Schizosaccharomyces pombe: one gene and its partners. Changing the gene in region 1 together with any one later gene gives a genetic interaction. Each region holds a gene or a part of one and is shown in the gene's direction. Other genes may lie near its edges. The genes, in order: ubp9, myo1 and end4.

Evidence for each region.
Region 2: mutations in ubp9 (region 1) and myo1 are lethal when combined (synthetic lethality), as found in Schizosaccharomyces pombe (one study listed by BioGRID).
Region 3: mutations in ubp9 (region 1) and end4 impair growth when combined (synthetic growth defect), as found in Schizosaccharomyces pombe (one study listed by BioGRID).

What each region holds. Positions count from the first base shown.
Region 1 is NC_003423.3:2,934,462-2,938,218, forward strand, and holds the start of ubp9 (ubiquitin hydrolase Ubp9), read left to right. Parts: upstream 1-1,690; 5' UTR 1,691-1,749; coding exon 1,750-1,776; intron 1,777-1,820; coding exon 1,821-1,928; intron 1,929-1,977; coding exon 1,978-1,991; intron 1,992-2,019; exon of another isoform or gene 2,020-2,048; coding exon 2,049-3,657; 3' UTR 3,658-3,757. Other genes in the region: mitochondrial outer membrane lipid metabolism regulator Opa3, read left to right, coding at 521-628, 694-851, 970-1,360. UniProt on the Schizosaccharomyces pombe protein: Ubiquitin C-terminal hydrolase involved in regulating actin dynamics and/or endocytosis at cell tips and septa.
Region 2 is NC_003423.3:1,026,118-1,029,874, reverse strand, and holds the start of myo1 (myosin I myo1), read left to right. Parts: upstream 1-1,901; 5' UTR 1,902-1,944; coding exon 1,945-1,947; intron 1,948-1,991; coding exon 1,992-3,757. Other genes in the region: coatomer beta subunit Sec26, read left to right, coding at 1-759. UniProt on the Schizosaccharomyces pombe protein: Type-I myosin implicated in the organization of the actin cytoskeleton. Required for proper actin cytoskeleton polarization.
Region 3 is NC_003424.3:3,133,386-3,137,142, forward strand, and holds the start of end4 (clathrin adaptor End4), read left to right. Parts: upstream 1-1,601; 5' UTR 1,602-1,739; coding exon 1,740-3,757. Other genes in the region: DNA polymerase zeta catalytic subunit Rev3, read left to right, coding at 1-935. UniProt on the Schizosaccharomyces pombe protein: Required for cellular morphogenesis and polarization of the cortical cytoskeleton. Required for establishment of new polarized growth zones where it acts in actin organization.

The sequences.
Region 1 (3,757 bases):
TATATAATAGTAAGTCAAAGGTTGAATGGTATGTACGTTACATTAAGAAATGAAAATACAACTGTACTACTAAGGACAAGTATTGATAACTGCGACACTAAAGTTTCTAATACAAGCAAAATATTAAGCACACACAGGGATCGGTGTAAGAAGGATTAGTAAACCAATCAGAGAAACCGACAGAATATGCATATCAAGTTCAGCAACATCAAATTTACTTTCCTCTTCCAATAACTTTTCTAATTAATAGATTAAAAAAATAAAGCACGCACTTGGTGTTGCGGTTTTAAATATTGCTATTGATTAACGGAAGAGTATATCTTCGACCTTGCATAAATATCCTAGCTATTGTTACACGCTTATATCTGCATTCTAATTTTATCGGAGATTTCTTTCTTTTATACCTCTATTTAATTGAGGTGGTAGTACTTTTAGTCGGTAATTTGAAATCCTTTGCGGGTTTATTCCCCCTCGAATATTTTTGAAGTTCTGGTATCCATTAACATTTCTCTACAATCCAATGTCTTCTCTAGCCTTAAAAATCGGAAGCTTGTTAGTAAGAACATTATCCAAACCGATTGCCAATACAATCAAAGCCCAAGCTAAAGAGCACAAGGCTTTCCGAAAGGTATAAATCAGTAAAATAGATGATAAAGAGAATCTTATAGCATTACTAACGAAATTTCTATATAGGCATGTATTGAATTTGCTCAATGGATGCATCGCGCGGAATTTAGAATAACAGGAATTAACAGAGCTAAAAGTGGAGGAGCTAATGTACGATTACGACCTTTAAACGATGCCAAAGCAGTCGATGCTGGTGCAACATTTTTATCAGAAACTTTTATATTGTATGAAAATTAATACGATTTGACGTACTTCCTCTCCACAATGCTTAATACGGCACATTGTGAAGGAGCTACGAAATCCAACTTGTCACAATGTTCTTCTCTTGCTAACAATTTACAGTACTGTTGCTGGAGGAGCCATTTTATTTGAAACATGGAGGGCTCGTAGAAAGGAAAAGAATAGACGAGATGAAGTTGCTGAAGCGATTCTTGGTTTACAACATGAAATCGTTCGTATTAACGAAATCATGGAAAAGCAGTTTGTTTTACAGAAGAAAAAGAATGAACTCCAATCTTCGACTGAGGAAATTGATAGTACCGAAAAGGATTTTGACGAACTCCACAAAGTCATTCTTAAAGTTGAACGTGAGCTCCATACTCTTCGTCAAAACACGCCAAGTCAGAACGAGCAAGCAGAAGCCACTCCTTCAAAGGAAATCCCACGTGAAACAGTCTCAGAAAAGGCAGATCATCCTCCATCTTCTAACACCAAATCGGTTTCTACAGGTTAGTGGATGGTGAATACTACGATTACACATAACTTGCATTAATGAGTAAATTTTGATACATTGCAGAAATTCATCTGTTCCCATTTCACCAAACTGATGTTTACTTTCTTTTAATTTATTGTACATTTGATACTTCGTTTAACCAGATCACATTTCCAAAATTAGTTACGGTTTATTTATAGCTTTTTTGACTTAATATCTACTGAGTTTTATCGCTCATTTTACAATACATTGCACTTCGTTATTTTAGATAGTTGGCTGTTAATATAATAATAGCCTAAGATTATGATCACCAACGTACGCCCCTTTCTGAGCGCGTGAAAGCTTCCCTTTGCGTTCACTTCCCCGCTGTGCTTGGTTTGTAAACTTAGCATCCTTTAGTTCAACTCAGCATGTCGCTGCTTCGTTGGATGGGAATGGTAATTCAATTGTTAGTTATGAATTGAAGACTGACAAACTATAGAATTCCCCAGGCTCCACTGACCGGCGTAAAAGCACTTGGGAAGCAGAGTTGCCGAAGCCATCAATTCGCCCTGAAACCCTAACAGATCGATTCTATGGTTTAACAAATGTAAGCATTTTTATTAGTTATAATTTCTTCTGCTCTAACATATTTTTAGTATGGAAATACATGGTATGGCGATCATACTTGTAGCGTTGCTTTTATGATTGTAAATTTCTAACGAAATAGTTACGTGAGTTCTGTCTTAGTATCTTTATACCATTTAAAGCCCTTTCGTGATTCTTTAAATTCGTATCCTCTTCCGAGTGCTCCTCCAAATTTTAAAAGCGTTTGTACAAAAACCAACCATCCTGAATCATCTTCCTCACGACACAGTAAGAAAAAGAGCATGGAGAATAGGAAGTCCTCTTTATACGGGTCCAATGGTATAAATTCTTGCGGCTGTGTCGATATTAGTAACGTCGGCTCTGAATCCGGGACGAAGCATCAAATCGTTGTAGGCGAAAGCAATTGTTCTGCTTATGGAATGAAAGAAAACATATATACTTGTTTAAAGGATCTTTATTGCTCCGTAAGTTGCTGTGATTGTCGTTATGGTATTTGTTCTCCCGAGCGTTTTATCCAAGTTCTACGTAGAGACAATGAAGCTTTTCGCAGTACTCAGCAGCAAGATGCTCACGAGTTTTTTAATTTTCTTCTTAATTCTGTTACAGAAACTCTTGATGAATACTACGGTAATCATTCCGACGTGATGCATCCAAAATGGGTTCATTCTTTGTTTGAAGGAACGCTTACCAGCGAGACGAAATGTTTAACTTGTGAAAACATAACGTCAAGGGATGAAAGCTTTTTAGACCTTAGCATAGATATAGAAAATCACACTTCTGTAACTTCCTGTTTAAGGTCTTTTTCTGCTTCAGAGATGTTGTCCTCCAAAAATAAGTTTCATTGTGATGTTTGCAAAAGTTTGCAGGAAGCAGAAAAAAGAATGAAGATAAAAAAATTACCGAAAATCCTCTCATTACATTTGAAACGTTTTAAATATAACGAAACCCAGGAGGGCCATGATAAACTCTTCTATACTATTGTTTTTACCAACGAAATGAGATTATTTACTACCACCGAAGATGCAGAGAATGCTGAAAGAATGTATTATCTTTCCTCTGTTATTGTTCACGTAGGAGGCGGTCCACATCGTGGTCATTATGTGTCTATCGTTCGCACTAAAACTTATGGCTGGGTCCTTTTTGATGACGAGAACGTAACTCCTGTCAACGAGAATTACCTACAACGATTTTTTGGTGATCAACCTGGTCAGGCTACTGCCTATGTTCTATTTTATACTGCTGCTGATGAAGAAGATGATGATGTTAGTGAAGTAGACACCAAGGAATCAATTAAGCCGATGTCTATTCCAAGTCAACTTAAACAAGAAAGCGTGGAAGTTTCGAATCTATCAAGTACCCCTAGATCAAACTCGACAATAACATATCCTGATATGGATCCGATGGTTGCTTCATTTTCTTCGCAGTATTCTCATAAAACTTTAGATAGAGACATCAATAGCCGTTCTTATTTTGATCGTGAACCATCACTGGATGCAGAAAGATTTCATTCAAGATCTGTTGATGCTTCTCCAAAAGCCGTACGTCGCGAAAGTCGTTCGTTTTTCCCTTCCCTTACACGAAAAAGAAGTAAATTTTTTGGATCATCCCAAAGCAACTCCCCTAAAGATTCACCATTAAGGGATACTCACAAGTCTAGTGATGAACATTCAGAGTCGAAGCACTCACATACGCTTCCTTGGCAATTCTCTAGAAGCCGTTCCAAAAGGTAAAGAATTCTTATTTGTGTTTTTTATTACACTTTTCGAGAAATTCTTTTAATGTTTTCATCTCTCATCGTTTTACTTTATATTTTTGACTTTATTTGGAAAT
Region 2 (3,757 bases), 1.9 Mb from region 1:
GATCTTAATTTTGAGTCCGACATCATACAAGCCACCAACGATGGTATGGTAGTGGAAGATTTGGCATCTAAATTAGATCATATCGTACAATTAGCCGGTTTTACAGATCCTGTTTACTGTGAGGCATATGTGAAGATACAACAATTTGATATTATTCTAGACATATTATTGGTTAATCGAACGGATACCACGTTACAGAATCTCTCTGTTGATTTGGCTACGTTGGGAGATCTTAAGGTTGTAGAGCGTCCACCACCCATGAATTTAGGACCTCATGCCTTTAAATCTGTTCAGGCTACGGTAAAGGTATCTTCAACGGAGTCTGCAGTAATCTTTGGAAATATCGTGTATGGTGGTAAAGCATCCGACGAAGACAAAATTGTTGTTTTGAATGGCATTCCAGTCAACATTATTGATTATATAAAACCCGCATTCATTCCCGAATCTCAATTCCGTAGCATGTGGACGGAATTTGAATGGGAAAACAAGGTCGATATTTCTTCCAACGAAGACATTAGTCTGTACGATTTCTTACATAAAATAATGAAGAAAACCAATATGAACTGTCTTACTCCAGACGCGTCTCTGCGTGGTGACTGTGGTTTTTTGAGTGCTAATTTGTACGCCTGCAGTATTTTTGGGGAAGACGCACTTATGAGTCTTAGCGTTGAAAAATCCGTCTCCGGTCCTATCTCAGGACATGTTCGCATTCGTTCAAAAACTCAAGGCATTGCCCTTAGCTTGGGTGCATTTGTTTAGAGTAGAATTATATAAGGAATGTTATCCACTCTTTAAATTTCTTGATGGATTAAATTCACAATGGGAAAGCTGTTATGGATGCTGATTTAGTAGGTATATCATGTGTCTAATATTTCGCTAAATCGATATCTGATACGCTGTTTTATTACTCTTGTTGTAAATACCTTTCCTGCCGTTCTTTATTTAGCTCCTTATGATATTTCTACGATTTCGCAATTAAAAGGAGCCTGCCTTGTCATGTTCTCACTACTTGATATCCTGACATTACTAAAGTTGTGTACCTTGTATTTCTCTGTAACAGGCAAGTAGATTAGCTTTCATCTCGTGCATTTAGTTTGGTATTATATATAAACCCCGTTATTTCAATTAATTATGGCACTCACAAACGTTGTCTATAAATCACTGTTTGTATTCTTTTATAAATGATATAAACAGATGATTATGTTTAAGTTACTGCAAATCATATAGCTTCTCTCATATTGTGTTACATCCTAATATCTGTAATAAGTTAATTGTCATAGAATATACTCAAGGTCAATACGAGAACTACAGTTGTATTTGCTGGGGAATTCAACCTTTTATGTCGCGTTATAATAATCTGCGGCTGCTTTGGTTCTTGAAACGGCGATAGCCGTTATATCTAAAATACTTCAAAACTTCTCGCTTTATGAAAGGTATCTTCGACTTAAAATATTCATAATTGAAAATTCATGTTCATTTAATTCATCTTATCGACTACATGAACACACAATAATCAAATCAAGTATTAACTAATTCAAGCGCGTTATGTTTATCACTTCATCATAATTAGTCGCAAATTTCATACCTTTAGTGTGTTCGTTACCTTACCTAATGAAGTTACCCTAAAACACATTTGGATAAGTTTCGTTCGAGTATGTTACATAACAAGCCTCTTTCGGCTAGGTAATTGTTTTAATGTCAATACCAAAAATGGATGAAGCAAACGACAGAAAGCTAAAGTATATTCAATTTTCAGCTAAAGTACAATTTTAATAATTGGGGTCTGAAGTTTCGAACGGTCTTTGGCAATATTGACCTAGAAACTCATATTTCGCTCATTTTAACGATCCGTAACGCAATTATCTCAGTATTAGAAGAAACCTACACGTAAGTGCGGACTTGTCGTTAACCTATCTCTTGTTCGGCCATAAGTGAATAGATTTTATGGTAAGTAAATATGCATGCCGAATGTTAGCTAATTAATAAATTAGGCCATCCTTAAGAGAACAAACCGCGCGAAAGCTGCGACTGCAGCTGCTCCCAATAGCACTGGGAAAAGCAATGGTATTAAAAAGGCTGTTTATACCAGCACACGCAAAAAGACTGTGGGTGTTGATGATTTAACCCTACTTTCGAAAATTACAGATGAGGAAATTAACAAAAACTTGGAACTGAGATTTCGCAATGGAGAGATTTATACATATATTGGACATGTGTTGATTTCTGTAAATCCATTTCGAGACCTGGGTATTTATACGATGGATATTTTGAAATCATATCAAGGAAAAAACCGTTTGGAAACGAGCCCTCACGTTTATGCAATTGCTGAGAACGCTTACTATCAAATGAAGTCTTATCATGAGAATCAATGTATTATCATTTCTGGTGAATCGGGTGCTGGTAAGACTGAGGCTGCAAAAAGGATCATGCAATATATTACACATGTTTCAAAGTCCGTTGGCACTGAAATTGAAAGAGTTTCCGAAATTATTTTAGCTACCAATCCTTTATTGGAAAGTTTTGGTTGTGCAAAAACTCTTCGCAATAATAATTCTTCTCGTCATGGAAAGTATTTAGAAATGATTTTTAATTCCGGAGGTGTTCCTGTCGGCGCTAAAATTACGAACTACTTATTAGAAAAGAACCGAATTGTTAATCAAGTTCGCAATGAGCGTAATTTCCATATTTTCTATCAATTCACCAAGAGCGCTCCTCAGAAATATCGTGATACATATGGCATTCAAGGTCCGGAGAATTATGTTTACACTTCTGCTTGTCAATGTTTGTCGGTTGATGGGATTTCAGATGAGAAGGACTTCCAAGGAACGATGAACGCCATGAAGGTTATTGGTATCACCGAGCCGGAGCAAGATGAAATATTTAGGATGCTTTCTATCATCCTTTGGTTAGGAAATATTCAATTTCAAGAAGGCCAAGATGGTGGTAGCGTGATTTCTGACAAGAGCATCACCGAATTTTTAGGCTATTTGATCGGTGTTCCTGTTGCGGCTATTGAGCGTGCCTTGACAATTCGTATTATGCAAACTCAGCATGGTGCAAGGCGCGGATCTGTATATGAAGTCCCCTTAAATCCAACACAAGCTTTGGCTGTTCGTGATGCTTTGTCTATGGCGATTTATAACTGTCTTTTTGATTGGATTGTCGAACGTGTCAACAAAGCTTTGGTCACATCAGACAACAGCGTTTCCAATTCGATTGGTATTTTAGATATTTACGGCTTTGAAATCTTTGAAAACAACTCTTTTGAACAATTGTGCATTAACTATGTTAATGAAAAATTGCAACAAATTTTTATAGAACTTACTTTGAAAACTGAACAGGAAGAATACGTGCGTGAGCAAATTGCTTGGACTCCTATCAAATATTTCAACAATAAAGTTGTATGTGATTTGATTGAATCCAAACGACCTCCTGGTCTTTTCGCAGCAATGAACGACGCTATCGCTACCGCTCATGCTGACTCTGCTGCGGCGGATAGTGCTTTTGCTCAGCGGTTAAACTTTTTATCCTCCAATCCACATTTTGAACAGAGACAAAATCAATTTATAGTCAAACATTACGCTGGTGATGTAACCTACAGCATTACAGGAATGACCGATAAGAATAAGGATCAGTTAGCAACTGATATTCTTAACCTTATTCATTCTTCCAACAACGAGTTCATGAAATCTATTTTCCCAGTGGCTGAAGAGAGTAACTCCCGTCGTCGTCCTCCTACAGCTGGTGATCGTATCAA
Region 3 (3,757 bases), on another chromosome or scaffold:
AAAAAAGATATGTAGGGTTCAAATTTGAATCAGTTAGTCAAAAAGCTCCAATTTTTGAAGCGAAAGGCATTGAGACAGTTCGAAGGGATGGTACTCCTGTTCAACAGCAGCTCCTTCGTCGTTGCCTTGAAATACTTTTTAAGACAAAGGATTTGTCAACGGTCAAAAAAGAATTTCAGAACGTATGTTATCAAATTATGAGTGGAAACGTTCCTGTTATGGATTTTTGTTTTTCAAAAGAAGTTCGTCTAGAAAAATATAAAGAATTAAGTACTGCTCCTCCTGGAGCAGTTATGGCTAGACGGTTGATGACCAAAGATCCTAGGAGGGAACCTCAATATGGAGAACGTGTTCCATATTTGATTATCGCTGCTGCTCCTGGTACCACCTTGGCGAACCGCTCAGTTGCACCCGAAGAATTTCTGTCTTCGAGTTTTTCTCAACTTGATATAAATTATTATATCAACAATAGTTTGATACCTCCATTAGATCGATTTCTAAACTTGTTAGGGGCTAGTGCCCAGTCATGGTATCATGAAATGCCCAAACCACGTACCAGTTTAAAATTGACTGAAACAGTGAAAGGAGGTATTCAAAAAAAGACTTTGGACACTTTTCTGATGGAGAAGCTTTGCTCTTCTTGCTTGAAGAATAATATTGAAATTATTCCTGATAAAATTAACTCCCTCTGCAGTGATTGCTTAAAAAATCCTTGTGCTACTATTTCTAAAGCTGTTACGCAGCACAATGCTTATAACAAAAAACTTTCCTTGCTATTTGATATTTGTCGAGGCTGCAGTAAGCTTTCATCTAGTGATCCAGTTCTTTGCAAGTCAAATAGCTGTAAGGTGTACTATGATAGGGCGAAAACTGAGAATTATGCGAAAGTACAGGCAGAAATGTTAACGAAGACTCTTGGTTCTTTAGACTGGTAAATCATTATAACTTCAAATATTGGTGTGAAGGACTTGAAATTAAAATACATCAGGCATTTGTTCTCTTATCACCTGCTAGTTTATTCATCTACGTATTATTTATTACAATTATTTATTTTTTTTAGAAGGTTATATCGATAACTAAAAATATTAATATCATCATGTTATTGGATTTTTTTTTTTTAGTTAAAATTTAGTAAACCTCTTCGTATTCTAGGGTGCGTAGCAATTCTTTATTTACTTTTTACTGTCCGCAATACTACGCTGTGATACTTTACGTCGCGTGTCACTATATGTCAAGTGCACTGTTTTGATTTATCAACTTGACATGATAAGTTATCAAGGTACGGTTACTAATTATGATAAAGTAACTATCACTTACTACATTCAAATTCTTAACACTATATATTGAGATAAACTGAAGTGAGGACGGGAATCGGTTTTTAGCTACGTTAGTGATAAGTAACAGATAATGTGTATTAGAATACTTACATCAATTGCTACTTATATTACCTCGTATTGCAATATAACAATCACAAGGAAGATTCAATACTGTTTTTAAGTATCGTTAAAATAGATACCGAAATACGTAGCTGATATTTGCGAGACAAATTACTTCGTAATTATCAAAATTCGTACGGGACACGGATGTCGTAGTTTTGAAACAGAACCAATTTCTATAGTAAGAACGGACAGAAGACAATCTTGTACATAGCACTACGATATTTGTATTTTACCAGAAATTGTTAGGATTTGAATTGGCAAATTTTTAATTACCAAAAGTGAGAAATCGAAAAGTACACGATGAGTTCGTTTCGACTGCAATCCGATCACATGCAGTCAGACGCATCGTTGATGACAAGCGTGCGGAAGGCTACTAGCATCGATGAAACAGCCCCAAAGCGAAAGCACGTTCGTAGCTGCATCATTTTCACTTGGGATCATCATACAGCCAGGCCTTTTTGGACTGCTATAAAAGTTCAGCCATTGCTTGCAAACGAAGTTCAAACTTTCAAGGCGTTAATTACCATACATCGTGTCTTGCAAGAAGGTCATAAGTCTGCACTTGTTGATTCTCAAAGTGAGAAAGGCTGGCTTAAAACTTGTGAACGACAGTATGATGGTGAAAGTAGTCCAAAGGGCTATAGCGATTTAATTCGTGATTATGTGGATTATTTACTTGATAAGCTTTCTTTTCATGCTCAACATCCGGAATTTAATGGTACTTTTGAGTATAAAGAATACATTAGTCTTAGGCAAGTCGATGACCCTAATGAAGGTTATGAAACTGTATACGACATGATGAATCTTCAGGATCATATTGATGAATTTCAAAAACAGCTTTTTTCTAACTTCAAGCGTTCAAATAAAAATGAATGTAGAATTGCAGCCCTTGTGCCTCTAGTTCAGGAGTCATATGGTATTTATCGATTTTTAACTAGTATGTTACGTGCTTTATATAGCACAGTTGATGCCCCAGAGACTTTGGAACCTTTGAAGCATAGATATAAGTCACAACACCATAGGCTTCGTCAATTTTACGCGGATTGTTCAAATCTTCGATATTTGACTAGTCTCATTTCAGTCCCTCGTCTTCCACATGATCCCCCCGATTTGGAAGGTGATGACAATATCCCTGATCTTCCTAAGAGACCTGCTTCAATTGCTCCCCAACCCACTGGCGCCTCGACCATTGCTCCTCAGCCTACTGGTACTTCTCCATCTCCGCCGGTTGAAATGAATTTTCCTGATACTAGCGACATTACTCCGGCTTATAGTGAACCTGAACCTATTCAAGATTTCTGGTCTGATCCTACTTTAGATCAACAATTGGCTGCTCAGCAAGCGGCTCAGCAAGCTGCTCAACAACAAGCAGAGTTAGCGGCTCAGCAGGCCGCAGCACAGCAGGCTCAATTAGCAGCTCAGCAAGCTGCCGAAATGGAGCGTCAACGGATGGCCGCACAGCAACATCAGCAGGCCTTGGAGGCAATTCAAATGGCACAAGCTGAACAACAGCGTATTGCGCAAGAACAACTTGCTCAGCAACAATTTCAAATGCAAACACAAGGACAGTTGGCTGAACTTGAGCAACAGCTTCTTGCTACTCGAGGACAACTTGAACAGAGCAATGTGTTACTTAATCAATATGATGCTAGAGTGAGAACTCTTGAAAATGAGCTGAGCCAGGCTGGCGTTAACTTGCAGGAGCAAATACATCAAAATGATGATCTTATTGAATCTTTAAAAAATCAGATTCTTACATGGAAAAACAAGTACGAAGCATTAGCCAAATTATATACACAACTTCGTCAGGAACACTTAGATTTACTTTCGAAATATAAACAAATTCAGCTCAAAGCAAGTTCTGCGCAAGAGGCTATTGACAAGAAAGAAAAAATGGAAAGAGAAATGAAGAATAAAAACTTGGAACTTGCTGATATGATTTTGGAAAGAGACAGGGCTCGTCACGAACTCGAGACTATGCATCGTAGTCAACGAGACAAGCAAGAAAGCACTGAGCGTGAATTACGTTTACTTCAGGAAAAGGCTGCTTCCCTTGAGCGCAATAAATCATCTGAAGTATCAAATTTGCTTAGTCGTTATAATACAGAAGTTGCTCATTTAGAAGATGCTCTTCATTCAAAGGATCGTGAGCTAGCCAACTTAGGTGTTGAATTGAAGTCTACTGAAAATCGGTACCGCCAACTTTTGCAGGAAAAGGAAGAAGAGCTGGAGATTCAAAAAGCAGCTGTCGACGAGTCTCTGTTACAGCTTAGCAAATTACAATTGGATCGTAATGACATTGATCAAGCGATGGATAC